Oreochromis niloticus: one gene and its partners. The protein of the gene in region 4 interacts with the protein of the main gene of each other region in a biochemical or structural test. Links are inferred from orthologs where the notes say so. Each region holds a gene or a part of one and is shown on either strand. Other genes may lie near its edges.

What was found.
Region 1: the proteins of gtf2f1 (region 4) and gtf2e1 form a complex in vitro, tested with the Homo sapiens proteins (3 studies listed by BioGRID). The link is inferred for Oreochromis niloticus from reciprocal best matches to the Homo sapiens genes GTF2F1 and GTF2E1.
Region 2: the proteins of gtf2f1 (region 4) and cdk9 form a complex in vitro, tested with the Homo sapiens proteins (2 studies listed by BioGRID, with this or other methods). The link is inferred for Oreochromis niloticus from reciprocal best matches to the Homo sapiens genes GTF2F1 and CDK9.
Region 3: the proteins of gtf2f1 (region 4) and gtf2b form a complex in vitro, tested with the Homo sapiens proteins (3 studies listed by BioGRID and IntAct). The link is inferred for Oreochromis niloticus from reciprocal best matches to the Homo sapiens genes GTF2F1 and GTF2B.

Annotation. Positions count from the first base shown.
Region 1 is NC_031987.2:1,404,527-1,411,584, forward strand, and holds the start of gtf2e1 (general transcription factor IIE subunit 1), read left to right. Parts: upstream 1-3,888; 5' UTR 3,889-4,018; coding exon 4,019-4,032; intron 4,033-4,465; coding exon 4,466-4,777; intron 4,778-4,870; coding exon 4,871-5,028; intron 5,029-7,058. Other genes in the region: granzyme F, read left to right, coding at 1-140, 256-528; rabl3 (rab-like protein 3), read right to left, coding at 993-1,049, 1,144-1,182, 1,439-1,510, 1,869-2,019, 2,114-2,228, 2,316-2,445, 2,932-3,023, 3,627-3,672.
Region 2 is NC_031972.2:34,704,976-34,712,155, reverse strand, and holds the start of cdk9 (cyclin-dependent kinase 9), read left to right. Parts: upstream 1-3,997; 5' UTR 3,998-4,111; coding exon 4,112-4,152; intron 4,153-4,290; coding exon 4,291-4,404; intron 4,405-6,082; coding exon 6,083-6,164; intron 6,165-6,253; coding exon 6,254-6,344; intron 6,345-6,424; coding exon 6,425-6,591; intron 6,592-6,679; coding exon 6,680-6,851; intron 6,852-6,935; coding exon 6,936-7,084; intron 7,085-7,170; coding exon 7,171-7,180. Other genes in the region: fpgs (folylpolyglutamate synthase, mitochondrial), read right to left, coding at 1,034-1,270. UniProt on the Homo sapiens protein: Protein kinase involved in the regulation of transcription.
Region 3 is NC_031982.2:10,684,427-10,692,262, forward strand, and holds the start of gtf2b (transcription initiation factor IIB), read right to left. Parts: upstream 3,010-7,836; 5' UTR 2,888-3,009; coding exon 2,871-2,887; intron 1-2,870. UniProt on the Homo sapiens protein: General transcription factor that plays a role in transcription initiation by RNA polymerase II (Pol II). Involved in the pre-initiation complex (PIC) formation and Pol II recruitment at promoter DNA.
Region 4 is NC_031969.2:16,047,388-16,055,186, forward strand, and holds the start of gtf2f1 (general transcription factor IIF subunit 1), read right to left. Parts: upstream 2,884-7,799; intron 2,622-2,883; 5' UTR 2,555-2,621; intron 2,295-2,554; coding exon of another isoform or gene 2,109-2,294; intron 865-2,108; coding exon of another isoform or gene 689-864; intron 593-688; coding exon of another isoform or gene 479-592; intron 393-478; coding exon of another isoform or gene 230-392; intron 134-229; coding exon of another isoform or gene 104-133; intron 1-103. Other genes in the region: adhesion G protein-coupled receptor E2, read left to right, coding at 104-133, 230-392, 479-592, 689-864, 2,109-2,294, 2,884-3,087, 3,181-3,422, 3,525-3,591 and 4 more; adhesion G protein-coupled receptor E1, read left to right, coding at 7,481-7,508. UniProt on the Homo sapiens protein: TFIIF is a general transcription initiation factor that binds to RNA polymerase II and helps to recruit it to the initiation complex in collaboration with TFIIB. It promotes transcription elongation.

The DNA of each region.
Region 1 (7,058 bases), on a different chromosome or scaffold from region 4:
CCCGGGGTTCTTGCAGCGTGGTGCTCGGAGCACACGACATCAGCAAGAAAGAGAGAACTCAGCAATGCATCCAAGTAGCCGAGTACTACCCTCATCCAGGATTCACTGGACAATACGAATATGACATCATGTTACTGAAGGTAAAACTGTCAAACTTCACGTCAAAGGAAATGTTTAAAGTGACCTGATTCTCTGTGCACTGGGTTCATGTGTTGAACTGATGCAGGAGCAACTTTGACTGATTCTCTTTGACAGTTGAAAAAGAACGCCACGCTGAATAAGTACGTGAGGACCATGGGACTGCCTAAGAAGAACGGGGAAATACCCGCCAACATTAAATGTGCTGTGGCCGGCTGGGGACTAACCAAAGCTAATGGATCTCATTCAAATGTCCTAAAAGAAGCCACAGAGAAGATGCAGTTCAGCACTGAGTGCAAACACATTTGGCAAAAACACTTTAACTCTGGTCACATGATATGCACCAAGTTTACCAGACGGGACGGAGGTGTTTGCCAGGTAATCAAATAACAAAAGCAGCCCAGCAGCTAATAACTCAAATACAGGTTTAGTTTTTTATTCATGACAAAAATGTGCAACCTTTACACAGATCGCTCAATCAGTCTTTCTTTGTAGGGAGACTCTGGTGGACCACTTATCTGCAACACAAAGCCTCAAGGCATAACAGCTTATACCTCATCAAACGACTGTAATGATCCAAGGTACCCGCATGTCTTCACTAAAGTCAGTTCCTTCATCCCGTGGATCAAGCAAACAATGGAGGAGCACAGGAATGATGCCTGAGTCAGAGGAGCAGTAAAGCATATGTTTTAAAAATGTGTGGTCTCATTTATGATGGTGTAATAAAAAGCTCAAAGCATGCCTCTTCATTCTCTGTCCTCAGCATCTTCTTCAAATGTCATTTCCAGCTTTTACAAACTTTTCTAGATTCACTTCCAGCGCGTGTCTGAGTGGGCGGGGTCTGATCACAGGTCTCAGTCATAGTGCAAACTTTTGAAGTTGAACCGTTTTCTGTCTGTGAAGCCAGTCATCTGCAGAGAAAGTGGGAAACAGTTCACCTTCAACCTTTTACCAAAACTGTTACGACTCTGTGACTGGACAGAAATAAAGAGAAAACAAACTGACCTGACTGGGATCTCTGGTGAAATATCTTTTCTCTATTACCTGTTGAAAGGTTTAATATGTGTCAGAACACACGTACATGTCAAGAGAAAGGACTCCCATTAATGTGAGACATTTATCCTCCAGTTCTATGGTTCAAAATACACGTGAAAGCCAAATGATGTTTGTCTCTATTTGTCAGCTTCTGTGCCCTCGATAAATCCACACGTGTAACTACAGCACAAAGACGGAGGCGCACACACGCGTGTGAGTCACGACCTGCCTGACAGACCGCAGTGACACAGGTCACAGCTCTCACCTTGTCAAAGAACCTGCTGAGCTTCACAGCGTTTGAGGTGCCTGCAGCCAGGTATCTGGGGTTGGTGCAGTCCTGGGAAAACAACACAACACTTCAGCCACAAACCAAAAGTGTTCAGCTCTCGCAGTGAAACTGACCCCAGCAGGAGGACCAGACACAGGACAAACAGGAGCTTACTGATGCTGTGATGTTTATGATACATGTGTGTTGTTTTTATTGTTGTGAACTAGAATTTTTCTGTATATTACTGACTGAAAAACATACATGGTGTGGGAGTGTGAGAATCGCCGCTTTATTTTCATCATTAGTCTAGTTTCCTTTTCTATGAGTGTTGACATTGTGCTTTACGTGAGAGATAAACCAATGAATTAAACTGATTTATGTGTTTTAAAGGAGCTGAGAGCTCGTAGAGCAGAAAAAGGCGACTTACAAGATTGATTTCTTCTGCATTGAAGTCTTCAGACAAGAAAGCCGTCCGAGTGAGAACTTCACTGCGCTTGTTTTCTGGAATTTGGTCAAACTTGGTTCCAATCAACAGCAAAGGCACCGGATTCTCTGCAAACTGCTCTCTGTCATAGTCACTGCAGTCAAAAATCAAAGCTTCCACATTAGCCATATTTTCTGTTTATTATTCTGAATGAAGACGGACGATGTCAAACACACAGATCTGCTCACCCGTTTGAGACGATGACTCCAGTTGGAGAGGAATCCTTATTCAAAGCTTCCAGTGACCAGCGGTACAGATTCTGAGAGGACTTCTTATTGGTCAGATCGTGGACCAATATAATTCCTAAAAGAACCCAAACATGACAGAGCATTTCTCAATAACACGTCACTGATGAAATCAATGCTTTCAGATCTGTCTATAACTGTTTACCGTTAACCGAGTTGTAGAAGACTGCTCTGGTGCTTTTGACGCTGCTGGCGCTGCCAACGGATCCTCCAACATCCCAGAGTTCAATGTAGAAGGTTTTCTCCTCTGGGGTTCCCTCCTTATAGTCTTGAACCTGGAGTAGAATAAGTATTTCGACATCGATTCTTCTTCTTTCAACTGCTCCCTTTGGGGGGCGCCGCAGCAGCTCATCTGGCTCCATCTCACTCTTACCTCTCTCCACATGCCTAAACCATCCCAGCCTCGTCCCTCTGATGGACTCATTTCTAAACCTGTCCATCCCGCTCACTCCCACCGAACACCTGAACACCTTCAGCTCTGCCTCCTATCTTTTTGTCAGTTGCCAAACTATACATCATAGCAGGCCTCATTAACTGCCCTCTCACTCTTGCTGCTATCCTTCTGTCACAGATCACCCCTGACACCCCTGACCCCCTGGTATTTAAACCCACCCACCTGTTCCTTTCAGCTTCACTGTTACACCTGTCTCCCTCTCGTTAGTGTGTTCTGTTGTGTTTTATAAGAGAGTAATATAAAGGGCCAGCAGGAAGTCTGACCAAAATTAGGACTATGTAAAGTAGAAGATGCTGGACCTGCTTACCCGCACATCTACAGAGCAGCCAACAGTCCACGATGGATTTCCCAAAACTTGATTCTGACATAGCAGATGGACCAAGGAAGACTTGCCAACCCCTGCAAAGAGCACAAAATGATACTGGATAAAAGAAGCTGATGCAAAGTACAGCAGTGACTGCAGGGTTAAACATTTTTGTGTGGCTGATAGATATTAATGCATTTAAATTATGAATAGACTCTACAGCTGCTGCTGACTGGAAGACAACTGAGCTCCACTGAAACATCGGGTCAGTTTACGACAGACTCGGCTTCCATCAGAGCACATCTCCGGAACAACATCAGTAAGTATCTGTAATGATCTGTAGGGTGTCGCTCTCTGATTCGGCAAAACGTGTTTCTGTGAAATTTAACCTCTTGATGTGGAATCGTTTCATACCCAAACACTTACATCCGCCTGCCGCAAAGTCATGTAAAAATGACGGGTATTAAAATTAAGCATCACTCGCCGATGTACCTTTATTGTGAAAATTACCCGTGAGGTTAGACATGACAGTTGTGTTACGTGATGTTTATCCATAGCTTTAACTGCCACAGCAGCAAACTGACCACAGCGTCAGTCTCCTACTTAAAGATTAAGAGTTTTAATAAGCAAATGTCCTTATAAATAAGAGCAGATGACAGTAGTAAAGGTTTTGCTAGTGAAAATAGTTCATAACTCACCGGAATCTCCCAAAACCAACACTTTTACCCTGTCAAGAGAGGCCATTTTTTGACAGACGCGATCAGGAAGTAAACAGTGTTCTTAAAACCACGCCCCATGAAAACAAAGCCAGGCTATTCGCCAATATGCCCGTCACTCAAGCTTCTTTGCTTCTATTGGCTAGTTAGTGTAGTTTAGTGCAGCTTAGTGCAGTTTAGCGCAGCCGGGCCAACATTCCAGTTGGCCCGGGTTTATTTTTCATTTCCGGGGTCGTCGTCTCAAAATAAGAAGTGAAGCATGTTGGCTAACCCAGCAGCTAAAAGACTGTGAGGTGCGTTTGTGTTCATTGAGTTTTAGCGGTGTTTTTGTGAGTTAACGTCAGTGTATGAGACTCTGAAATGACTGTTGGCACATGAACAATAACCGGTAAGAGTCGCGTTAACGCCTACCGGGTTTCTACCGGCGAACTCAGTGTTAGCGCTTAATTTAAATAAAAGTAACTTTATCGAGCTTTTATTACAGATAAAGTGTGGAATAATAAGATGACTGGTAAAACGATTAACACGCCGCGTTTCTATTGTACTATATTAGATTAAAATGTACAATAACCCCGGCCAACCTGGTGCATTATCTCAGTTTTAGTCTTTGTTTGGATCCACTAACTTAAGCTAAGCTATGCTAAACTGTGATTGATGATTTGACATATCTATAACGGGGATTTTTCTCCCACTGGGTTAATGTGGTCTAGCTTACACTTCCCTCTTAAATTTAAAGTTTTATACTGGAATAACTCTTCTGGCCCTGCTCCTCATCCCTGCCTTCCTGATGTTCTCCCCTGGTGTCGCACTCTGCCCTGCAGCCCTTTCTCTCCAGACCCTAAGATGATTGAACCAGAGGTACTGACCGAGGTCCCCGCAGCTCTGAAGCGGCTGGCCAAGCAGGTCGTGAGGGGTTTTTATGGTGTGGAGCATGCTTTGGCGCTGGATGTGCTGATCCGTAACCCATGTGTGCGTGAGGAGGACATGCTGGAGCTGCTCAAGTATGACCGCAAACAGCTGCGCTCAGTACTCAATACCCTAAAAGCAGACAAGTTTGTGAAGTGCCGCATGAGAGTGGAGACGGCGCCCGATGGCAAGACAACGAGACACAACTACTACTTCATTAATTACAGGTTTAAGTCTCTGCTTTGTGTGTGTTTGTGTGTGTGTGCGGATGATGAACACTTTAGACTCAGTAGTCTTATTTCTTTCTAACGTCTTTTTAGGGTACTGGTCAATGTGGTCAAGTATAAACTGGATCACATGCGACGTCGCATTGAGACAGATGAGCGAGACTCCACCAACCGTGCATCCTTCCGGTGTCCCTGCTGCTTCTCCACCTTCACCGACCTCGAGGCCAACCAACTCTTTGACCCTATGACAGGTAAATGTGCAGACCAGTGCTGGTATGCTGTAATATTCAACACGCTTGGATATTTGAAAGCATTCTGGCAGTTTTACGGGAATTTAGTCCAGCTTTCATGGGATGAATAATTAATTAGAAGCTTCTTTACTGAGGGTGGGGAGAGTTCATATATATTTAAATAGCATGCTGTGTGCACAGAGAAACCTGTCATTTTTGGAGTATTAGGTGCAGTCGGACGGCTCAGAGCGTGGTGCCTCTTTCCCGTAGATCTTCACCGAGTCTTGAACCCTTTCCCATATGGAAAAGATATATATGTGTGTGTGTGTGTGTGTGTGTGTGTGTGTGTATATATATATATATATATATATCTCTCTCTCTTATAAAGTTTGTATCTGTCTTGTGTGAAACTTGTATGAAAAGCATACAAGAGTGAAAAGAGATATAAGATCCCTTGAAAAATTATATAAATGAAACTTGTATGTTTTGGATACTTACTAAAACAATATATGAAAGTGGCCACTTTCATGAGTAAATCATATAAGCCTGATATGATTCACTATATGAAGTAGGCTACATCTGATGCGTCTTTTTATAAGTTTTTTTCTATTTCTTTTCCATATGGGTTGGTTTGGAGCAAGGCCCCAAATATTTCTGCTCCTCAGTATTTTGATTTTAAAACCAAGCATGATGTAACTGAACTCGACGTGCAGTGTCAGTGGGAGGGAGGAGGACACTCTTCATCTTTTTTTTAAAAAAATCAGTAGATACAGAACTTTCTCCCCCTGTGGACGTGTTTGCCCACTTAGCCCCTCTGTGATTATCCTAAATTGGGAAATCTGGTCCTCAGTTTAATTGTAATGTATTTGGAAATATAATATGTAGGTTTGGAAAGGCGAGGCAGGCGCTCACATCTGGCAGTGATTCACATTGGATTTATTGAAATGAGTGTGTCAAAGTTAAATGAAGACGTCAGTATTTCATTGATGCAAGGATCACTTTTTGTGACCTGATGTGTTGTTTTTTGTTTGCACTTCCATTATGTTGTGTGCTCCTCCGTTTACCTCTAGATGGCAGTAACAGCACGTACCAGGATAGATTTAATGACAGGTGGATCGCACAATTCCTCGTAATGAAACTATAGTGTGAACAAACAGAGGATCGTGTACTTTATAGTGATAGAAGCATGATTTTTGTTCATTGTCCATTTAATGCCGAGTTACTTCTAAATTACCAACGCTACATGGACACGAACTGACTCTGTCAATGAAGCTAATGACGTGTACGTGGCCTTGTATAAGCTGCAAGTTGTACACTAACATTCTGCCATGTTAAAGTTCACTTTAAATGTCTGTTATTTAAATAAGGATGAGTCATAAGCCTTAGACATACTTACATATGCTGTATAATGATGTGCTCTGAATGAAACAGACCAAACGTAGGTGACCATGAAACAGTTTGTGGACTTCAAAACCCAGAATTTTCAGTTTTACATCAAATTTAAGTAGTTGGTAATCACTAACTTACAGTGGCCATGATGACACGACCTATAGTTGTCTTTAATGTCTTTTTTTTAGACTGGATGGTACTGGGGGATAATTCAGTCTGGTTTGTCATACTACCTTTTAATTTTAGATCTGAATGAGCAGCAGTAACGACAGATTTACAGTCTGTAGTGATGCTGTCTCGGCTGGCTGTATTAACCAATTAAAGTCACATGCTCATACTGGTTCATCTACTGTATAACATCATCTTAACAGCCAATATTAAAACACTTTGGTTGTCCTCGTCTGTCCCCATCTCCATCCGTGTCACACTGACTCACACCTTCCTTCAGTTTCTCCAAAGTGCAGCTCACAGGGAGGCGCCCACTAAGTTGTGTTTGTGCGTTTGACATGTGAGTAACAGGCGGTCAGAGCGTCTGTACTCAGTGTAGTGCTTTGGACACATGAACTTGGCTTAGCATGAGAGTAGACACTGGCCGTTTATCAATGCCCAAGTACGCGAGTACGTACTCGCGTTCTCGGTGAGTACGTACCCGCCGAGAACGC
Region 2 (7,180 bases), on a different chromosome or scaffold from region 4:
TTATTTCTGTAGAATTATGACAGATTGTGTCTAAAAATAATCTACATATTGAGACCAATAAAGAAGTGGCTTAAACCTTGTTTAATCGCCACCAGGTTCCGACTCCTCTGGTTCTCTATAAACCAGCATTAATTGATTTGTGACTGCAGTGAACACATTCCTGATCAGTTCACTGGGCCAATCAGGAGTTTAAAGTCTTACATAAGAAAATGTGGCGTTTATTTTATGAATTATGGTCATTATTACAGTCACAGTGGAGCCTAAAGCAGGATATGCGCCTCGTCAATCATAAACCAAAGAGCAGGCAGTCTGATCCACCCTGAGCCTGCCGGGTTTCATAACAACACCAAGAGGTCAATGGACAGCTACTTCCATCTTTCACATACAGTCTACAGTTGAAACAGACTCAGAAAATCCTGAAAGATAATTTTGCTGCAGTGACAATAAACTCATTCATTGAGTCTCTTTAATATCTGGCCGAAGGAAATCCATGATGGACGCCAAGTGTAAAATTTCATGTTCCAAATGCTCGTGAAAGCAGCAGCAAGAGGAGATAAAAAGGGTCTTATCTCCTCAATTTTGCATAGAGTGGAGGTCAGACTACGGACAGCTCTGACAGTCCCAGCTCTGAAACTGCGGAAAACTCACATTAACATTACAGGAAACAGCAAAAACACCTGAGTTCATCCAGGAAAAGGTCAGGTGAGCCTGGCACGAGTCAAACTAACAGAAATAACATGGCTACACAGAAATACCACAGCACGTGCCAGCGCAGACTTTTAGCCACTGACACTGATAGTCTCATCGCGACCTGTTAATAGCTGTCCAAGCTAACGTGTAACAGCAGATTCCGGGCAGCCTGCAGCTAACTGCCCTCCTCCCCCTGCTGCCAAAGCGCGCTCCTGTCAGCCATGTTTCCATTAAACTCCAAACAGCCCAAAAACTACCTCCAAACTTTCGGAAACAGCCTCGCTGCTCAGTTAGCTAGCTCGTTAGCCGCTGGAGCACGAGCGGCGGCGGTCACGGAGCGTACCTGATACTCCATTCCCGGGATGTGAGGAGCCGTCTCGGTGCTGTAGTGCCGGCACGAAAGACCCGCCAAACTGAGCGCCCGGTCCCGCCGTGCGAGCCGCGCGGCGATGCCCGAGCCCCGCCGCAGCATGCGCGACATGCACAGCATCATGAAGCGTGAAGCTGTTCCAGGAAGGGGACACCAAATATGGAAGGCTCGTTTTTCAAGCGTAATGACGTCAGAACACGCCCCCGTCATTTTTACTTATTTATAAAAAAAAACGTGAAAACGCAAACAAATAAAAAACACGAACAATAATAAACAATAAATAAGCTTTTCTTAAAAAGAAAATATAAAGTAAGCGTGTTCGATAAGGCCAGGGGGGGCATAATCGGCTGACAGTCTCCAATCCGACCTACTCTACGGTTTTGGAAAATATGAATGTGAAAAGAACAAAACCGTAAGTAATAATAATAATGAGCAAATAAAATATATAATTTTAACGGAAGTGAGCAGAATGGACAGGATTAGAAATGAGTACATCAGAGGGACAGCTTAGATTGAGTTGTTTAGAAACAAAGTTATAGAGGCAAGGATGAGATGGGTTGGAAATGTGCACAGGAGGGAGAGTGACTATATTGGACAAAGGATGATGAAGATGGAACTCCCAGGCAGGAGGAAAAGAGGAAGACTACAGATGAGGGCCATGGATGTGGTGAAGGATAGTAGGTAGGTACAGGGTGAGATGGAGGAAGATGATCCGCTGAGAATCTTGGTTGGAGTTATTTAGTATATAATATATTATATTATTATTATATATTATACGCAATAATATGCTTATAATAAATCATTATAACACTATTAATTTTGATAAATGTTTTCATTTGTTTGTTTGTTTGTTTGTTTGTTTGTTTTTGGCACGGTTGTATCTACAGATTATAAATGGCATGCTTTCATTTTTAGCTGTGGAAATTTTCAGAACGACCTGAGATTAGATCAGTATCAGTATTTTTTTCCTTAAATTAGTTTGATATATGTTTTCATTATGACACATAATCATTATTTATTAATTTACATGAGCATTTTTGCTGCTTTGCGGTCGTCAGAATGTCTTGGTTTGTATTTTCACGTTTATTAATTTATCAATCAGTCCGGTTTGGTGCGGAGAGCGCCCCCATGTGGTGGTAAACTAGTAAGCAAGGAGACCCAAATTTGTACTGTATCTTGACTCATAGTTTTGATCAAACGTTTACAGTTATGTCGGTTTTCTAAGATTTTACCCTTAAATTCAGGGCTAAACCCTGGTGAACAGTAATTCACTGCCTTTCTTTAAAAAAGGAATTGGAAGGTCAAAAACAGGTTTTCAGGGGGATCCTTTGGATAATTTGTCTCTGTTTTGTCTGCTAGAAGTAACTTTCAGGTCATAAAAGCTTTTAAAAAAAACTTTAGATCATTTTGGGGTAAAGCATTTGTTTTAGATCTGGTTAGAAGCACAAACTTTGATCCATTACTACACACATTTTCTCTTTGCTGGGCAGCACTAAACTCATCAGTAGTTGAGATTGTTAACATCTTAAAAATTAGTACCAGTCATTACATCACTCCTCAGGATCCCCCTTTCTTATTTAGGTTTGATGGGATTACGAAATAATCTTGTTTACATACTGCAGAGGCTGGCTGATGATGGGTGGGGTCGGGAGAACCTAAAATCCTGTTTATTATTATGCACTTAACCTCCAGCTCTACTTCAGTACGGTATTTAACAGCCTCATTTTCCTCCATTATCACCTGTGCACAGTCGGTTTGATAAAATACTTTGTGTATTTTCTCTGGTGATTCAGAAACTGGGTAATGAAGCTTTTAGCTCTCAAGAAGACCTGGGACCGTCATTTAAGTTTGAAATGGGATAATAAAAGAGTGGGGAAGGATATTTAGAAACATTCAAATACTTTCCAGTGATGCGAGGGATAATTTCTTCACTTTAAGATTGTGCATTGCTTTTATTGGACACCATACAGATTATGTATGATACTACTGTAAAAATCCTGAGTCTTTTGTACATATGCCATCATTTTGTAATAAAATTCAGGAGTTTGGGACTACAATATATGAAAATATTTGCTTGTTTTGCTGTTTTCCCTGGGAGGTAAGACAGAAATATACTAAGGATCTTACCTAAAAGACTGATCTGACAGTGAAAACTAAAAAACTAATTATTTAGTTTTTCAAATCTGATGATTGGTGCTGGGAGAAGGGGAAGAAGGTGGCTTCCATTTTTGTTGTAAAACAAATGTTATAAATGTTGTAAAACAAATGTTTTAGAACAAACATGTTGAAGTTTTCATTCTCCTCAATGTGCACAGCACAGTCTAGAAATGGCAAACTGTTGTCCTTTGTGTCTTCCCTGGTGAACTGTGGTGTTTTTATCCACAGAGTTGATGTGAACAGTGAAGGATTCGTTCGTTGGTTTTGATTAGTGGTTAAAAACATAAAGTTCAACACACACTCAGAAAAAAACTGGTTAATCCCAAAAACAAAACTCCTAAACACAAATTTAACAATGTAGTATAGGCTAGTGTAGTGAGGAATGCTCAAACCCCTACATTGGAGAGACCAAACAGCCACGCATAAACGCATGGCACAACAGAGAAGAGCCACCTCGATGGGACAAACTCAGCTCCATCTGCATCTAAAGGACAAAGGTCACTCTTTCGAGGATGCCAATGTTCACATTTTGGACAGAGAAGACAGATGGTTTGAAAGAGGAGTGAAAGAAGCCATCTATGTCCACTGTGAACGACCATCTTTGAACAGAGGCGGTGGTTTACGACACCAACTGTCTGCCATCTATAATCCAGTTTTGAGATCCATTCCCAGACGCCTTAAGTATTTTTCATTTGTTTTGATTTATTGTCGCTTCTTTTGGGATTATTTTAGCTTTTTGCCCATTTGTATTTGATTTTGGGTACAATAAATTTAAAAATAAAAAAAGAATAACTAAAGCCCGCCCCCGGATCAGTGGGCGGGGCGTCGCTGAGCTCTAGAGGTGACGCCGTGCGCAGACGCTCCACACGTAACTGCGTCGCGGAGTTGGACAAGATGCAGCGGGACAAGACAAGCAACGCCACCGGGGCTGAAAAGTAAGACTAAATCTATTTACTTTTCAATTTAACAAACGGGTTTGCTTTAGTTTGTTTCACCTGCATTTGAGGCGCGTTCTGTGCAAGCCTTGTTTGATGTAACCACTTTAAAGTCTCGTGAATTTTCCTTTTGTCCAGGCCCGATCGGGAGGCCGCCATCATGTCGAAGTACTACGACGGAGTGGAGTTCCCTTTCTGTGACGAGTTCTCCAAGTACGAGAAAATGGCCAAGATCGGACAAGGAACCTTTGGGTGAGTAGTACACAGCAGGCTGGTTGTCTGACTAAATCTTTAACTGCTTTGCGAATTCCGTATAAACGCCAGCTGTGCTAACTGCTAGCCGCACGGAGTGAATGAAGAGCAAGTAAACAACGGAAGTTCCCTTCCTGTATTAGTCCAGCTGCTTATTAAGGAAGGCATTAGCTGATACCTGTTGTTTCGACATATTTTTTAAAACGTATTTAGTTTGTAAAGTTGCAAAGCTTTCATGGGTTATGGTCTTCTGCTGCGATCAACTGAAACAACAGGGCACAAAGATATGGCACGGGAATAATTTGTGACTGGCTAAATGAGCCACATGCTGAAGACAAACCAGGCTCTATCCATAGAGCACCAAAAAAGACTTTGCGTTCTATTCTCAATGAGGGACAACTCTTCTCCCCTGAGATGGAAGGGAGGCAGCTTGACTTCTGTCCTGATGAGCTGATTCTCCGATGCTGTGCCATGCTTCTGTGGGTGTTTATTCTAGGGCTGGGTATCGTCACCGATTTCTAGAATTGATTCGATTCCGATTCACAAGGTCCGGATTCGATTCGATCCACAGTTCGATTCCAAAAGCTGACACTTGTGAGACTTTATCAGAGGTGTAAGCATCACAGCAGATTCCTTTGTGTCAAAGTAACAGAGCATAAAACACAGAAAAACATGAAGATTTTCCCCGCCTGTCTTTTTATAGCAGATAACCACCTTAAAGATATTCTGCAGTAGAACAAAAACAGAAGAAAACCGTGAATCAACATATCAACATTACCTGATGCGGCTGAAGTGAAGCCGAGCAAAGTTACAGAGGTTCAATTAGAGACACAGCTAAACATTTAGCAATTTTGCATAATTTTAAAAAGTTTAAATTTCTTCAGTATTGAACAGCAGAAATGAGGCTTTCTTGTTGGAAGTCGGTTGAAGAAAAAAACCCCCACACAAACAAAAAACAGCGGCCAACAGCGCTGTACATAACGGTAGACTTGTGCGTAATAAGCAAGCGAATAATGCAGAAAACCGAGATTTTTAGATGGGAAGAGAAGAGATGAAGAGAGCTGTGCATGAAGTGCCATTTTTGTCGTGGTGGAAGCAAAACAGCAAAAGTAAGAGGGAATTCGTGACGATGTTTATGTGAAGCGTAGTTTGGATCCAGACCCGCCGATGCATCAGAGTCTTTGAGCTGTCGGCTTTCAGCCCAGACGGGGTGTCAGTGTACTTGCCATCGGGTGAGAAAGCGGACATCTCACTGATTCTGATGCGTCGGTGGGTTCGCACTTAGGTTTTTAGCTGTTTGGTGGCTGTCGAAATTCTGTGAGGTTTAACCTGAGATTCTGGCGTTTCGGGTAAAATACATTTAAATTTTTTTTAAATTGATTCAGGATTTTAATGAATCAATATTGTGTTATTCAAGCTAGAATCGATTTTAATTGGGAAATCGATAATCAAAACCCACCCCTAGTGTTTAGTCTGTAAAGGTCTGAGTACTCCTGGCGGCACTGCACCACTTACATGATGTTGTGGATGAAGCAGTTCTTGTCTGAAGTGGACTGAGATCATGTCTACCACACAAATGCCAGCAGTGTTGTTTCTCTACCCTACTATAGGTTAGGCTATATACCATTTGAGTTGAGTAGTTTAAAAAGCCGACTGTCTAAAATTGTCTCTTGTACAGGGAGGTGTTCAAAGCGAAGCACCGACAGACAGGGAAGAAAGTTGCACTGAAGAAAGTGCTGATGGAAAACGAGAAAGAAGGGGTAAGAAACCAGAGTCTTGGCATCATTTAAAATCCAGTGTGCTGAAAGTTGGTGTGGATGATAATGTAGCTGGTTTTCCTCCCCTTTAGTTCCCAATCACAGCTCTGAGAGAGATCAAAATCCTTCAACTGCTCAAGCACGAGAACGTTGTCAATCTGATCGAGATCTGCAGGACCAAAGGTTAGTGTGACACGAGTGCATGTTTTGTGTGGATTTCAGTTTTTTGGGGTCTGTTTTTAATTTTCTGTTCTCCTTTTCAGCCACTCAGTTTAACAGGTACAAAGGCAGCATCTACTTGGTGTTTGACTTCTGTGAGCATGACCTGGCTGGGCTGCTGAGCAATGCCAACGTGAAGTTCACGCTGGCAGAGATCAAGAAGGTGATGCAGATGCTGCTCAATGGGCTGTACTACATCCACAGGAACAAGGTTAGACTCTCAGAGACACAGTGTGTACTTAAACCAAATGAAATTCCACTGTCAGAATATTAATGATGATCTGTTGTTCTTTGCTCAGATCCTTCACAGAGACATGAAGGCAGCTAATGTGCTCATAACCAGAGACGGCGTCCTGAAGCTGGCTGACTTTGGTTTGGCTCGAGCCTTCAGCCTGGCCAAGAACAGCCAGGGGAACCGCTACACTAACCGCGTGGTGACGCTGTGGTACCGACCTCCAGAGCTGCTGTTGGGTAAGGAAAAAAAAAAAGTAAAATATATTTCAAATCTACTCCTGGTGCAGTTTTTTAATTTCTGTGTTATCTTTGTTTTTGCAGGTGAGCGAGACTACGGGCCTCCAATCGACCTGTGGGGGGCTGGCTGCATCATGGCCGAGATGTGGACACGGAGTCCGATCATGCAGGGGAACACGGAGCAGCACCAGCTGACCCTCATCAGCCAGCTCTGCGGCTCCATCACGGCAGAGGTGAGCCTTCATTCTTTCTCTCGCACTCTGTTTGTTCTGTTTCTCAGCTCTGTGTTAACTTAACTAACCCTCTGTTGTCCCATCAGGTGTGGCCCG
Region 3 (7,836 bases), on a different chromosome or scaffold from region 4:
ACGTCCACGTTAAGATCCTGGGTTTGACTTTTAGGGTTATGCATGGACAGGCACAATTGTACATCAGTGAACTTTTACATCCCTGGCAGGTTCCCTGAAGTCATGTGATCAGGGCCTGTCGGCTGTGCATCATACAAGGCTGAGAACTAAATGAGAAACAATTCAGACTCTGGAACTCTCTCTCCCACTGAGCCTGAGATTGTTGAACTCTGATCTCGTTAAAAAAAAAAAGCTTAAAAAATTTTAGGGCATTTTCACAAAATTATTTTACTCTGGTCTGACTCAGCTGATCAGTTTGCAAACTTGCTGCTTTTCCCCGTGTTTTGGTTTGTTTTCACACAGAAAAATTCAAGTGAATGTCAAGCGAATAAAAAAAATGTGTCATAACCAGTGTTGGTCAAGTTACTTGAAAAAAGTAATCAGTTACTAATTACTGATTACTTCCCCCCAAAAGTAATCCCGTTACTTTACTGATTACTTATTTTCAAAAGTAATTACTTACTTAGTTACTTTTTAAAAACACGATTTACAACCTGAATAGGTGATAAAGCGATAGATTTTTCTGCATAATCCATCATACAAAATGTAATCAAATGGAAATGTCTCTTTTTAAAGCTTGTTTTATTAGTGTTAATCTTTTAACTTTATGCATTAAGCAAAAACTTAATTATATGCAACATTCTCTGACTGGAAGAAATTTGTTTAACATTTAAACCTATTTTCTGCACATTCCAGCTCATAAAATAAAATATGTTTTTGTGTTTACACTCACTCTTTCAAATAGATGCAAGTAAAACACAGCAGAAAATAAATAAAATCAAAGACTAGCGGTCCTGTTGCTCTATTTTCACCTGTAAAGCAGGACTGGGGTAGGCGGAGGTTTACCCTGGTGCAGGTGTGCCGCAGCGGTCAGTGGAAGAATCCGCGAGTTTCTCTGTGAATTTCACATTACGTCGCAGTACACTCTGTGCTTGCTTGGAAGTTTAGGGGGTTTTTTTCGCTGTAAAAAGTTTTCTTCCCACGCACAACGGACACTAATGTTTTTGTCACTTTTTATGGAATCAAACTCAAAATAAGGTCAGTACTTCCACGCTTTAAACGCTGCATGCTACACTCTGTCCCGCACTCGATATATTATGATCTGCACACAGCTGTTGTCAGGAACGTCGCACTCGCTTACGTCACTGTCATGAGACGTTCTCTCAAAAAAATCACGGTTTTAGTAACGCAGTAACGCAGCGTTCCTACGTGAAAGTAACGGTAATCTAATTACCGTTTTTGCAATAGTAATCCCTTACATTACTCGTTACTTGAAAAAAGTAATCAGATTACAGTAACGCGTTACTGCCCATCTCTGGTCATAACAAATCATATGAGAATGTTCAGTCCGCTCACTGGCCAGATGTGTCTGGGGTGGAAGCAACAAAAGTAAATACAGGAATAACGTCCTGTGTGAGAAACCTGAGAATTTATGTTCATTTCACGGTTAGTTGAAAGGAGATTTTCTTGAGTTATATATAGAGATATACATTCTTACTTAGTTTAGGTAATCTGTGAGAGTAGTGGGTGTTGTTCTTTGCCGCAATGACGAAAAGTAACAGAACAGTCAAAGAGTGGGAGGTTTCTGATTAAGGGTGGATGAAACAAATAAGGTATCTTTTTTTATCTGTTTAATCAAGAGAAATCCACATCTCTTTGACAGATGCTTGTCAATACATGACCTTCCGGGTCTGTAACCACACAAGGTGTTATACACAAATGTACATTTCTGTCACTGGCAAATTAAACTGTAACCCACTTTTTTTTTAGATCATGGATGGTAATCTCTTCACTGTTGGTGGATTTCTGATTTATATTACATTAGGGGTGGGTTTTGATTATCGATTTTCTGTGTTTTATCCTAAGTTACTTTGACACAAAGGCATCTGCTGTGATGCTTACACCTTTGATAAAGTCTCACAAGTGTCAGCTTTCTTTTTATAGATATAAAAATATGGATATGTACTGATAAATGATAAGATTTATAATATTTCTGACTGTCTGAGGCAAAATTTCCCTGATTCAAATTGAATCCATTCGAGACCTTGTGAATCGGAATCGAATCGATTCTAGAAATCTGTGACGACACCCAGCCCTATATTACATACGTACAATATTGAATTTGAAAAAAAACCAAACATCCATCGCTTCTTTACATTTTGCAAGGAAAACGGGAAATACTTCACAATAGCAATCATTAAAAGAGTGGATGTGAAACTCTCAGTCAAATTAGCTCAATCAACTGCACTTTACTCCTTCATACGCACATCCTTACCGTGCCACTGATAGCAAAATCAATAATGTTAGTAACTTTGAATGCAGAAATTATTTGCTAAACTACAGTAATTTATTATACGTGCTTAAAGGAGGGTACGTCAGACCACTGTTGTGTAAAGGTAGACAGACTGCACGGGAAACTGCGTGTGTTTACAAATGATTCACAACTGCTCACTGAGTGGTAACGTCAACAACACATTAGCTTCAGTTTCAGCTTCACACCATTGTAATACACGAAAAAAGTTGAAATGTGGACAAACAAGTCTACAATGCAAAGACGATAACGTGGCAAAAAGCAGGAGCATCAGCACCACATCGCTGTCCAACAAAAACACCGACTTCTGGTAACATCTAATGGCTAACTGCTAGCCAGCTAACTAGCTGTGCTAACAAATAGCACAATGGAACGAACACCGATCGGTAAGCACAGGGACGTATAGTGTTTTAGCTTTAGGAACCACGGCGCACACCAGTATTTGTTCTTATGAATTAACATCTTAGAACCACATGCAAAGAAAGTATAGGTATTACATTTACTTGGCTCTATCACTTACCGGCTTGTAGAGGCCATGTCACTTCTTACTCTGCCTCAGAATCAAAGAAACAAATGAGTGTGGCACCTCTATTTATAACCTCTTCTGATCACGTGTCCACATGAGTACGGGAAAAGAAAAAGACCAAATTAAATAGAGGTAGCCTTCAGTTTCTTTTACGTTGGGCTGTAAAAATGCGTCACATGAATACGCAATATTTGTTTTGTTTTTGGACATTTTCATTTATTGTCAAGAACGATGTACAATGACAATACATTAATGGTTACGCGAGCTAAGCCAGCCTAACGTTAGAGTTTTCTGTGACATGAACGTGTCTGTTTATCTGGCTAATCGCCAAACCGTACTAAAACCACTAAATGATGTGTGAAGTGACTTTCACAGGAACGTGGATGCATTATAAACACCTATAAAAACATAAATAAATGTTGTTATGCTTGATTCTAATCTGCTTCTGACTGCAGCTGCAAAAACACAGAACACCACGAATTTCGTCAATAAAATTCATTTCAGTTTGAACTACTGACAAAGTATAGTGACTGTCATGTCTCCTTCATTACACCGTGGGACGGTAACAATCAATCAATCTTTATCGACAGACTTTATGTCCATAGTTAAACAAAAGAAACAACAAAACACAACACAACATATAAACCTTAATTAAAAAAATAAAATATTTGAAAGATATAAAACCATAATATACATAAAATACACATTTACTTAGAAATCAATAAATACACAAACACTTCAACCCGTGCTTCCTCAGAGTGAATGAGTAACGGGAACCACTCACTGTCAGCTCTGTGATTGCTAAAATTATACTGTAATAGTATTTGCCTGCACAAAGAGTTTCCACGTTGTCCATATATGTCATCATCATCATCATTCATTTAATCAGTAATAAAGTGACCAAGGTATTTCACCTTTTATGAACCTCAAGAGTATCGTCGGACAGTTTAAACACAAGGAAATTTAGCTGTTTATCTTGCTTTGTTCTACATGTCAAGATAGCACTTTTAACAGCGTAGTACTTTATATCATATAGCACACCATATTCAGTACAAATATTAAGAAGCTACTGTAATCCAGCACTACTTGGACTAAAAACAACCAGTTCATCTGCATACATATGATGATTCATCAATGTTTCACCTAATATACATCCAGTGTTACAGGTTCTCAGCTGTATGGACAATCATCATCAACATATAAATTAAATAAAATTGGAGACAAAATCCCACCCTGTCTGACACTATTGCTAACACCAAAGGGGGCAGAAATGCCACTTCCCCATTAACCTGCATCTTCTGATGAGCGTACCAGTAAGACAGAATCCTCACAATCTATCCAGGAACTCTCCGTCGCTTCAATTTATCAAAACGTTTTCCAGGGTTCACTCGATCAAAAGCTTTAGAGGCATCAATGAAACACATAAGGGCAGATGAATTTTAGGACCTATACAAACTGACTGTTCCCTTGAGTGCATATATGCACATGTCCGTGCCATGCTTTGGTTTGAAGCCAAACTGATTATCCAGGGAAGAGATGAACACACTAACTCTATCAAACAAGATTTTTTCTAGCACCTTAGATAAAATACTGGCTAGTGCAACTCAATTTTACAGCTTTGTCCTTTTTAACTGCTACAAATAAAATACATAACATTGAGTCTGGTAGTTTGCCATGAATCATAAGCCTTTAATGTCTAATTGTATGCAGGTTAAAGTTTCACTGTCATATTTTTAATGTTTGTTTGTTTTTTTATCTCTGATTGGAGGCACTCATAGGGATCATTTTGTGAGAAAGAAGGGTCATGGGCCCACTGTTCTTTACCAAAAGTGGTGATAATTGGCACTGTCCCTTTTCGTACTTGGAAGTGTTGGTGACTATGTGGTGATCTTCGAATTTTTTCCTGTAAGAGGATACCACAGAGAGTAGGCCTACTCGAACCTTAGGGCTAATGGATCCGCAAGGCAGAAAAGCCCAGCAATATCGGCTGTCTCCTCCTATCCCGTTATCTCTGGTTTTGTGTCGAGCCAGCTAACACAAAGAAATCCTGGCTATGTTGAACTTCATTCATTGTAGACTATACCCCTCACACTGTCAGATAGACCACTAAAGCAAACCTTTAACTACCGGCCAAAACAGCCTATGCAACAGACACATGGTACTGCATAACCTAACAAATACAAACCTCACATTGCACCAGACTGTGACACAAATTGTGATTGTGGTTAGCCTGTGTTGTAACACAAACCCATCAGTGGCTCAATAGTTGAGAAAAGTTAACTGAATCTTTCAAACTTCTTTATTTAAAACAAATCTTTAAACTGCACAGTTTTTTTTTCTTTTCATAAGAGGCAACAAAGGTCTGCCAGATTGCTGTCAGTTTGTCTGTGTGACTCAGTACCAGTCTGTGTAATAATTCTTTGGCATATGCAGGAAACCACAGTCGCAAAGACTCATATGATTTGGTCAGGTTTTGTGGTAGCAAAATAACAAAGGCAAGGATCTGAGGCAACTAAACCTGAGTGAGATAAACACAAATACAATTGTGTTTGCAACTTATATTAATGTCTGTTGCTTAAAGAAAATGCTTTCAGCTGCAGTCTGCACCTACTGCATTATCATTACATCAGCACATAAGCCAGGACAGTCAGTGTGCATCAGGACAACACCAGATGGAGCTAAAAAATAAAAGCAGTGACTGAGGTGTGGAATATGCACATGCTACGAGAGCTCTGCAATACTTACCATGTTTACAGTTATTGGTTATCATTCAGCATGATTTGGTTCAGGTTTGCTTGAACAGTACCACGACTCTGAGACTGTAACTCTTTGATGAGTGTATACATCTTATATCTGCAAAGCATGGCTGATTCTGGCTCGTTGAAAAAAAGCTTTTGTATGGTTATCCTACCAAAAGAACCAAAAAAAACAAAAGAACACTCCAATGTGTTTCGGTTGTTCAGGAAATGATACAGAGGACAGCTGTGCACAGCGAGATAATCTCATTTTTTGCTGCACAAATGATATTTGCCTGAAACATGGCCTCATGTGATGCGTTTATAAATCTTTTAATATGCAATAGCTTTATGAATATTTGAAAAATGTTATTAGCAATGATCAAAACAGAGGCAAAGCAGAAACATAAAAGAAGACCAACAGGAAAATGTCCCTCTTAATGGTAATTTACTAACAATGACAAATATAACATACATACATACATGTGCAGAATTCAGCGGCCTGTGAGGTTTATGACTGTGCTGGTTACTCCATTAGAGACGCACTGCTGCAAGCGGAAAATGGTTACACTTAAGCAGGCTATGGCATGGGGTTACAAAATGCTTTTCTTACTCAAGATCCCTTTAACCTTTGAAAATATCTTTCACTTTACACCTTCAAAACAGCCCAAATTATCAGGCTTCATACGTGGCTTTAAGTGCTCCTTCAGCCTTTTCTCTCTGTTTCACTTCCATAAGAATGGCTTCTTGACAGCCACACTTCCACTGAGACCATTTCTGATGAGGCTTCAGAGAACATTAGATGGATCAACTGAAAAGTCAGATGCAGCTCTCATGTCCTGTGCGTTTTGAAGATTCAGCTAAAGAAATGAGAACAGATTGTATGATTTTTGTGATGTGCTGCTAGTAATAAAGTGCCTAGAAATTTAACTTAAAATTGACACTTTGCTAAGCTGTCTGTTATGTGTGGACACAACTCATTTCATCTCTTGAGTCATTCAGAGTGCGTTTTATATGCTTTAATGATTCATAAGTCCGTGTTTAGTCTGGCGAGCCATTGCTCAAGAAAAAAAAAACAAGAAACGTCTGGCTCCTTGGAAGCAAATTGTAAAGAAATGTTCAGTGTCAAGATTAAATACCGTTTCACCAAATTACTGGAATGACTGATCTTCTGTTATATTCAAATCTTTTACAATGGACCAAAAATGCCCCCCAAGCCTTTTCAAATATTTTTGTTTGTCTTTCAGTATAATCTTTGTCTTTCTAGTGAAATGTTTGCCTGACTCGTGCTTTTTAATATCACTGATAGCGAAAACCCTTGAATGGGCCAGCTGTTTCTGTGCAGATTCCACTTGGAGATATTGTTACAAGTCACAGCATAATGACATAAAAATGGTAATGTGCTCAGTCTGCTTCTTTGTCTCAAACACATGCAGATGCACAAAGAGTAACAACTACCTCAGGGCCTCAGAGGTTGTTATCCATCATTTTCCTGCTGCATCACCACATTATCATTCTTTATGACTGTCATATTACTACATTTTCTTCTCTAAGTATATCCAACAAATCTTTATTGATTGCATTCATCCACCAATCCCAAGCCCTCCCCCAGCACATAGCTAGCATTAGATTAGTTAGTCTAACTAACCAAAGGCTGAATTTCCCTCTCCACTCTGTGTGCGCGTGTGTTTGTGTGTGGGTGAGAGCTGTATGTGCATATGGGGGAAATTAACTGCCATAGAAACAGGTCTGTTTGTTTGTCTTTGTTGGTGCTTTGTGGCTTTGAAAGAAGCTGAATGACTGTTTATTTTTCCTACTTCTACATAGGGACCTCAAATGTATACATGTGCAGTTATTTCACTGATTAATGCAAAGGCTGACGCAAGAGTGTGATGTTGTGCAGCGCATTCTTTAGAAATCTGAGACGGAGATCCATGCTGAATAATTTATGCCACTTGTAAGCCTCACCACACCGGCCATAATCCTCGCCACAGTCACATAAACCAAAGCAGGTTTGGCATGAGGGCAGTGGCCAAATTTAAACCATATGAATGGTTATAAAGGTGGTCATGGAGTGACTGGGAGTTGTGTAACAGCACTTTGTGAGATCAGAAGGTTAAGTGAGTCCGCTGTCTTTTTTCATTCACTTCTCTTTGTGCAAACACAGCCATCACAAGATGGTGTTACTTACTCTGAGTAAACATTTGGCTCCACTGTAGAAATAA
Region 4 (7,799 bases):
CTTGTAAATGCTACACAACAAATGCGATGTAACGTGATGCACAGAAAACACGGTAGTTATTTTTTATCTAACACAATTTTCTCTGTTCTTGACATCTTTGCAGACAGTTGCAAACTGCTTTTCTTCATCTATGGTACTGAAAAGCAAACAGAGTCACAGCTTTATATTTCCAGTTCATTCATTTAATTTGCATGTTTATTTGTTGATTACAATAAGTCGTCTTCTGTAGATGGTTTCAGGTGTTGGAACACTTACCAGCACAAGCAAGGTGAGCAGTGAAGGAGACGGGGAGACTGGTAGTATTATTCTTGGCCTCTCAGAGCAGCTCGTTGTTGCAATGACTCCGTCGACTGAGACGCAAATAAAAAAGGAAGTACACACTTCAACAGTGGGTAAGACAAAGCTCAACCTTATGCTAATAGGTCAAATTTGAGTTCTTAGTAAATACAAACATAATGAATGCATATCTGTGTTCAAGATATGAGTCTAGTGGCCATTGGTTCATTGAGCCATGACAGCAAGAGTTCATCCCTCTCTGCCAAGGAATGTGAAATGAAAATCAACTTGGAGGATCTAGCTAGGGCCAACAATGGTAAGAGCTTTTTTAAAAAAATGATGACTGACACAGGTGCATCAACATCAGTGTTTTTGTTGTTGTTGGGTTTTTTTGTGATGTGATCACTTCCAGGTTCTATATCAGCCGCCTTTCTGACGCTAAATGGGATGGAGAGCATTCTCAGTCATCAATACTTCAAAACCAAGAATGTGACAGAGATGTACTCAGATGTTTTAACTGCCATAATACCAGGAATAAACACCACCAACCTCACAGAGCCTGTCAACTTTACAATTCAACACAAGAAGGTGTAGCATCAAGATTGTACACATAGAGTGTTTGCCTCCTTCCTGTTTTCCTGTTTTTTTTGTATGTTTGTCACACTTAAATGTTTCAGATCATCAAACAAATGTAAATAATAGACAAAGATAACGCAAGTAAATACAAAATGCAATGTCTAAGTGTAGGTGTTTGTCATTAAGGGAAAAAAAAGTGATTGCCCCCTAACCCTAATAACTGGCTGGGCCACCCTTAACAGCAACAACTGTAGTCAGGCATTGCAATAAGTGGCAATGAGTCTTTTACAGCTCTGTGGAGGAATTTTAGCCCACTCATCTTTGCAGAATTGTTTTAAATCAGCTACATTGGAGGGTTTTTGAGTGTGAACCACCTTTTTAACGTCGTACCACAGCGTCTCAATCAGATTGAGGTCAGGAATTTAACTTGGCCACTCCAAAGTCTTAATTTAGTTTTTCTTAAGCTGGAGGTGGACTTGCTGATGTGTTTTATTATCCTGCTGCAGAATGTTGTTGTGGAAGTTTTAGATTTAAATAAAGCCTGCAGACAAGCGGTGAGTGGTAGCTAACATTCTTTAACAACATAATCGTGCTTTAGAGTGAGGTCTTGAACAGATGGCCGACATTCTCCTTCAGGATATTTTGGTAGACAGCAGCATTCATGGTTTTCCAGGTCCTAAGGCACCAAAACAGCCCCAGATGTAATGGGACTCAAATCTTCCAAAATCCTCTCCTTTTGTCTCATTAGTCCACAGAATATTTTCCAAAAAGTCCTCAAGATCATCAAGATGGGTTTTTTTTTTGGCAAAGGTGAGATGAGCCTTTTGGTCAGAAGTGTTTTACTTCTTGAACTCTTCTGTGGATGATATTTTTGCCGAGTCTCTTTCTTATTCTTGAATCATGAACTCTGACCTTAACTGAGACATGTGAAGCCTGAAGTTCTTTAATGATGTTCTGGGTTCTTTTGTGATGTCCTGGATGAGTTGTGAATGTGCTCTTGGAGTAATTTTGGTAGCCCAGTCACTCCATGAGGAAGCAGGAAGCTTTCCAGACTCATAGCTATCAGTGACTTTGTTTCTCAGTTGTTTCTTTAGATTGTGGTATGATGTCTTACTCTCTTTGACCAAAATTAACATTTGTGCTTAATATGCAAGACACTAGGAAATCAGGAAGGGGGCAAACACTTTTCACATATTATATTGAAAAAGAATCAGACTTTTTATTCTTGCCTTTGTTTATTTATTTATTTTTTTTAGGAAGTACCAGAAAATGGAATGGTCACTTGTGTGTACTGGGAAGCTGGAGAAGCCGAAGGTGGACAGAATGGAGAGACAATGCGTTGGTCAAAAGAGGGTTGCTGGGTTGCATACTCTCAAAAAAACTACACTGTTTGTAGCTGCTCTCACCTTTCTACCTTTGCTCTCATAATGCAGATTGGGGAGGTATGTTAGTTACATGTTGGTAAGGTTGAAGCCTCATTACTTACAGGACTTAACATACTTGTACATTTTTCAGATTTTATTAAATTCACAACCCACAATTTGACAAATGGAAACATGCAGTGTATATAAGCGGTTAAATCCCTTTTTACATTTTAAGTGGAAGAAAAAAAATGTTTTGTAATCAGTCAAAATTTCTCTAGAACTTTAATTCGGTATTCTGTCAAACTGCTTTGTCAACAAGTATAGTACACTTTACATACCCAGTTTTAGACAGGTTATCCCACACTTCTTGGCATATGCTATCAAACCTGGGGAATTGTCTATGGACTGAAGGGAGAAATAACAGAAGGACTATAAATTGAAATAGGGTCCCAAAAACTGAACTGTAAATTGAACTGTGGACTTGTGGAATCATTACAAGAATCATTACTGCAGAATTAGAAAGATACACAACCTAAAAATTGCTCTTAAAAAATCTTCAACTTGGATTAAGTCTGAAATGGATCACCTGGATCTTAGACATTTGTCAGCTTTAAAGCATTTTAAAAAGCCATCCATTTTCATCTGCATCCATGTATCTCATTTTCAGCCTGTGCCACAGAATGACTTCTTAGAGTGGCTGAACCGGATATGTGTGATTATTGGACTTTTCTTTTTGGCTTTGGCCATCCTTACCTTCCTTCTGTGCAGCTGGAATCCCAAAATTAACAATACTGCCCGTCTCCACCTCTGCCTCAACCTGGCTTTTTCGCAACTCCTCCTGCTCTGGAATGACAAATACACTGATAATAAGGTACAACGTGGCTAAACTACAAGAATTATCAAAGGATTCTCTATTGTGTTCCAGTTGTCCATAAAGCTTACATTCATTTATCCGTCTCTACAGCTGGCCTGCACTGTCATGGCAGGGCTTCTCCACTTCTTTATTGTTGCCAGTTTTGTGTGGATGTTGCTGGAGGCACTACAGCTCCACCTGTTGGTTAGAAGGCTCTCCCAGGTGAAAGTCATTCAAAGAGATGGTCTCCCCAGGCCTCTTCTCTATCTGATTGGCTATGGTGTTCCATTTGTGATTGTTGGTGTTTCTGCACTGATCTATTCTGATGGATATGGACGTACTAAGGCTAATGTGTAAGTCGGACACGGTGCAATGCACAGATTTATGTATTAAATCCTTTTATTACTAAATGTACAAGACTGGATAATGGTCTCTAATGTGCGTTTTCATTGTAGATGCTGGCTGTCAGAAGAACGAAACTTCAAATGGGCTTTAACAGGGCCAGTGATAGCGATCCTTGCTGTGTGTCTATTTTTGTGTTAGAACTGTATTACACATTACATGTCTTTTCTTAACGTCATAATTTGTCTCAAAATTAAATTATAAATCTGTTTATTTTATCAGCTTAATTGCATCCTGTTTGGTGCAACTTTATGGAGTCTGCGGCCCACCTTGGCTAACATAAAAAGTGATATCTCTCAGTCCAAAGATACAAAGTAAGTTTAAGGTTTTATTTAATTTAAAGAGCAAGCTCAAATTCTGAGTAATCATTATGATTTTTGTGTACTTAAAGCAGCTTTTAAAAAAAAATGTCACTCAGTAGAGACTCGAGACTAATTGCAATTTCCATTCTGATTTTGATTATTTGCTAAATGACAACACAGATTTTTCCCTATTTCAACTACAATTGACATTATATAGAAAGAAAATCAACTTTTTTCAACACAAAATATTATTTGCATAATAAAAAATATTAAGCTTATTAAACTTTTGGTCCAAATTGAGTAAGTTACAGGATTTTCTCTGTCAAGCACGCTACTAATTGAATAGAAATTAGCTGCTGTATATCCACCTTTATATCAGATACTTGCATCATTTTCCCGTATACTTATGAATTCACTAGATCAGAGCACATCAACCCTTTTCTCTTTTTTCTCACCTGTCTGTAATTTTCCTTTCACAGCTCTTGCCTGACTCTCTTACTTGTGGTTGGTTCTGAGCTGTGAATAGTTTAGCTTGAGTCACTTTTCATTTGTTGGCTAATTTTAAAAAGTACACAATTAAGTGTTTGATCAGGTTTGTCATAACAAACATTTTCTATGGTGGTTTACTTTGGCGAACTTTGTGTCTTCACTCGTGGTGGGGAGTTTCCATGCTGGCAACTTGTTGGCATGCGCCTGTGAGTGTGTGCACAACTATTTGCATGCTTTTCCATGTGCAAGTAAATAGTTTTTTATTTGTGCACTGTGAGTGTGTAGAAATAGTAGTTTGTAACAATTTGCTCATGAAATGTATGTGCAAGACGCTGACCAGCCAGTCCCCCTTCTGGGCCGGAGAAGACTGGAAATTGGGAGATACCTTTCCCTTGCCAGACAATCAGTTCATCTCTAGAGACTAAATATGTCATCCTGTTTGACTATAAGTGCAGTTACAGTAGAGAAATAAATTCATTTAGCATACTGATGTGATTTTATTTAACATCCTGCTCCAATGTTTTGTAAAGAACTGTAAAAACTTTGTTGTTCTGTTTGCAGGTTGATTTTGTTCAAGATATTGGCCCAGTTTGTTATACTTGGCTGTACCTGGATTCTTGGCCTGTACCAGACAAACCTGTTCTTTCAGGTTGTTTTTATAGTTCTGAACTCCCAGCAGGGTACTTTTCTCTACATTGTCCACTGTGTCCTCAACAAAGAGGTAGACTCGTTATACCAGTGTTTCTTAACATTTTTCTCACATACTATATGTCAAACTTTTTATAATTCATTCTTCATAAGAATGCTGCACAGCAAGAAGGTCCTGAGTTCAATTCCACTATCAGGCCGGGGTCTTTCTGTGTGGAGTTTGCATGTTCTCCCCGTGTTTGCGTGGGTTCTTTCCGGGTACTCCGGCTTCCTCCCACTATCCAAAGACATGCACTTAGTGGGGATAGGTTAATTGATTAATCTAAATTGCCCATAGGCGTGAATGCGGGAGTGAATGTGAGTGCGAATGGTTGTCTGTTTCTGTGTTAGCCCTGCGACAGACTGGCGACCTGTCCAGGGTGTACCCTGCCTCTCGCCCTAGGCTCCAGCGCCCCCCGTGACCCTGAAAAGGATAAGCGGAAGCGAATAGATGTGTTCTTTATAAGAGAAAAAAAAAGATTTAAGTTAAATGTAGTTAAATAAAAGCTAAACTCTGCCCCACTAGCAATGGCTCTGTGGCTCTATGGATCTAGCTATAGGGCATGCACCACAGTTTGAAAACTCTTGTTTAATAATGACCTGCTCTGTGATTTAACATCATCTCTATTTACAACATATTAGTGGTATTTTTTTACGAGTTTTATGGTGAGAGTAAATTAATTTATTTTTCAAAGTGTGCATTTATTTCATATTCTAGATTAGAGATGAGTATGTCAAATGGCTGACCTGTTCGTTCAACAAGACCAGAGAAGGCGGCTCAGTGGTAAGTTTTGCATAGCAGCCACTTGACCAATGAGACTTTTTCACTTTGCCTACCTGTGTTGTAAATGTGACTGCATAAAGTGTTGCTTTGCTTGTAATAAATTTAAACCTTTTCTAAAAATGTTTTTTAGTTCTTCTAAAGTATCAGCACTACTTTTTTGACAGAAAAATGTACCATCAGTTTCCGAGGACTTGGACATCCCTCAGACGTCAACATCAGCTGATGTTGATAAATAAGTGACGGGAAACATGGAAGAAATAGAAGATTTATCTACTTTTCTGCTAATAACTTTTTACTTTCTTTTCAAATATTTCAATTTGTACTGTGAATTTACCTTGTAAGTTCTTTTGTCATGAAAAATTAGTGCATTTTATGTAATACTTGTGCTTTTCGATATTTAGAAAGTATTTTAAACTACTACTTGCTGATTAAATGTCCCAAGTTTTTCTCCCAAATGTTCACCTTTATTTTGAAAAGGTTATGGCCAGATATAGGTGCACCCAAATCATACATCAGATTTTGGGTTGCACAACCAGTTATTAGGGCTAGAGGACAATAACTTTTTCACACAGGACCAGGAGGGTTTGGACAGCCTTTTTTCTTTAATAAATCTAGTTGTTAAGCAAACATTTGCTTACTTAAGTTTTAGTTTTGCTTACTTAAAGTTGCTTAATGACGATTGATCAACGATTGACCAATGATTGATTCAGTGGGTGGAGTCAACTATTGTACAACTGGCTTGTAATACAGTTTTACAGGATTGCAATATACTCCTTTTAATGCTATTAAAGTGCTTGGTTGTGGAATTTACATACTGCTTAATTTGACTCAATAAAGTTACCTGACACCCAAAGTTCTGTTTTTGACCTTTTAAATGAATTTAAAGTAAATACATTATTTACTTTAATTTAGAATTTAGGAGGAAGAAAGTTGGTCACTAATTATCAGTGTCCCATAATACGGTTTACTCATGGGTGCCTTTTTGGCATGAGGAAAGGAAGGAGTCTTGCCCTTTTTACAGGCCTGAAACACAGCCGCACAGTATGACTACATTTTTCATGCAGGTGCCATGATTACTGCAGCTTGACGAGAGCACACAGTAGGGTGCTGGTGGAGGCTGAAGGAGGAGTAGTTGGTAACATAAAGCAAATGCAGGCACTGATCGTATACATATGAATTAGCATACACAAAACACTGATACGGTTGGTCTCGAAGTAGGAGGGAGCTCTGATGCAGGTTTTGACTGAAAGCTTGAAATGTTTTTTTTGTGTGAAAGGACAAATATTCAATAGATCAGAAATACGAGATGGACTAGAGAAAAAGAATGACAAGCAGGACAGCCCCTGTTTTTTAATTTCACAAATAAAATAGCTATTTGATAAATTTTGAAGTGTATTTTAAAAGTCCTTAGTCTCTAAATTGATTTGGTCCAGATTTTAACAGTATTGGGAATTTTAAGTATAACTGTGTTCATTGTCTTTGAGATCTGAGAAAGGAACTAAAGAAAAGAATAAATGCTTCACAAATCTGACAGGTTTTTTTTGTTTAACATGAAAAAGACATAAAAGTCCTGCATGTCACATTGTGTGTATCTTTCCTAGGTCCTTAACATAGTCAACACAAGTTGGTGAATTTGCATTGCTTTTTGCATTCACATAATGCTTTTAAAAGCAATATTTGGGTGTTGTTCATGTTTTACAATGTGAACATTCAGAACAGATCTGGAGACTTGACTTGACTTGTCACTATGGATTGTGTCTTGTCACTTTTTCTGGGTAAGTGAATTTGACAGAGAAAATAAACTTTTTGGAACTGAAGGTATTAAATTGATGTCAGTGCTAATTTTAATGAGAAAACTAGATTATTAAGATGGAACAAATTTTAGTTTAGATTCTGGATTCAAAGAGACATATGTCTATTCAAATAATGGTAAATTCTAAACAGTTACTATTACTGACTACTTCAAGTAGCATTTCATAAAGATATGTGTAAATTTAAGTCAATGTTTACAATACTTTAATTGCAAAAGTTTTAGTTTTTGGTTTTTAGCTGTTGAAAAATCACCT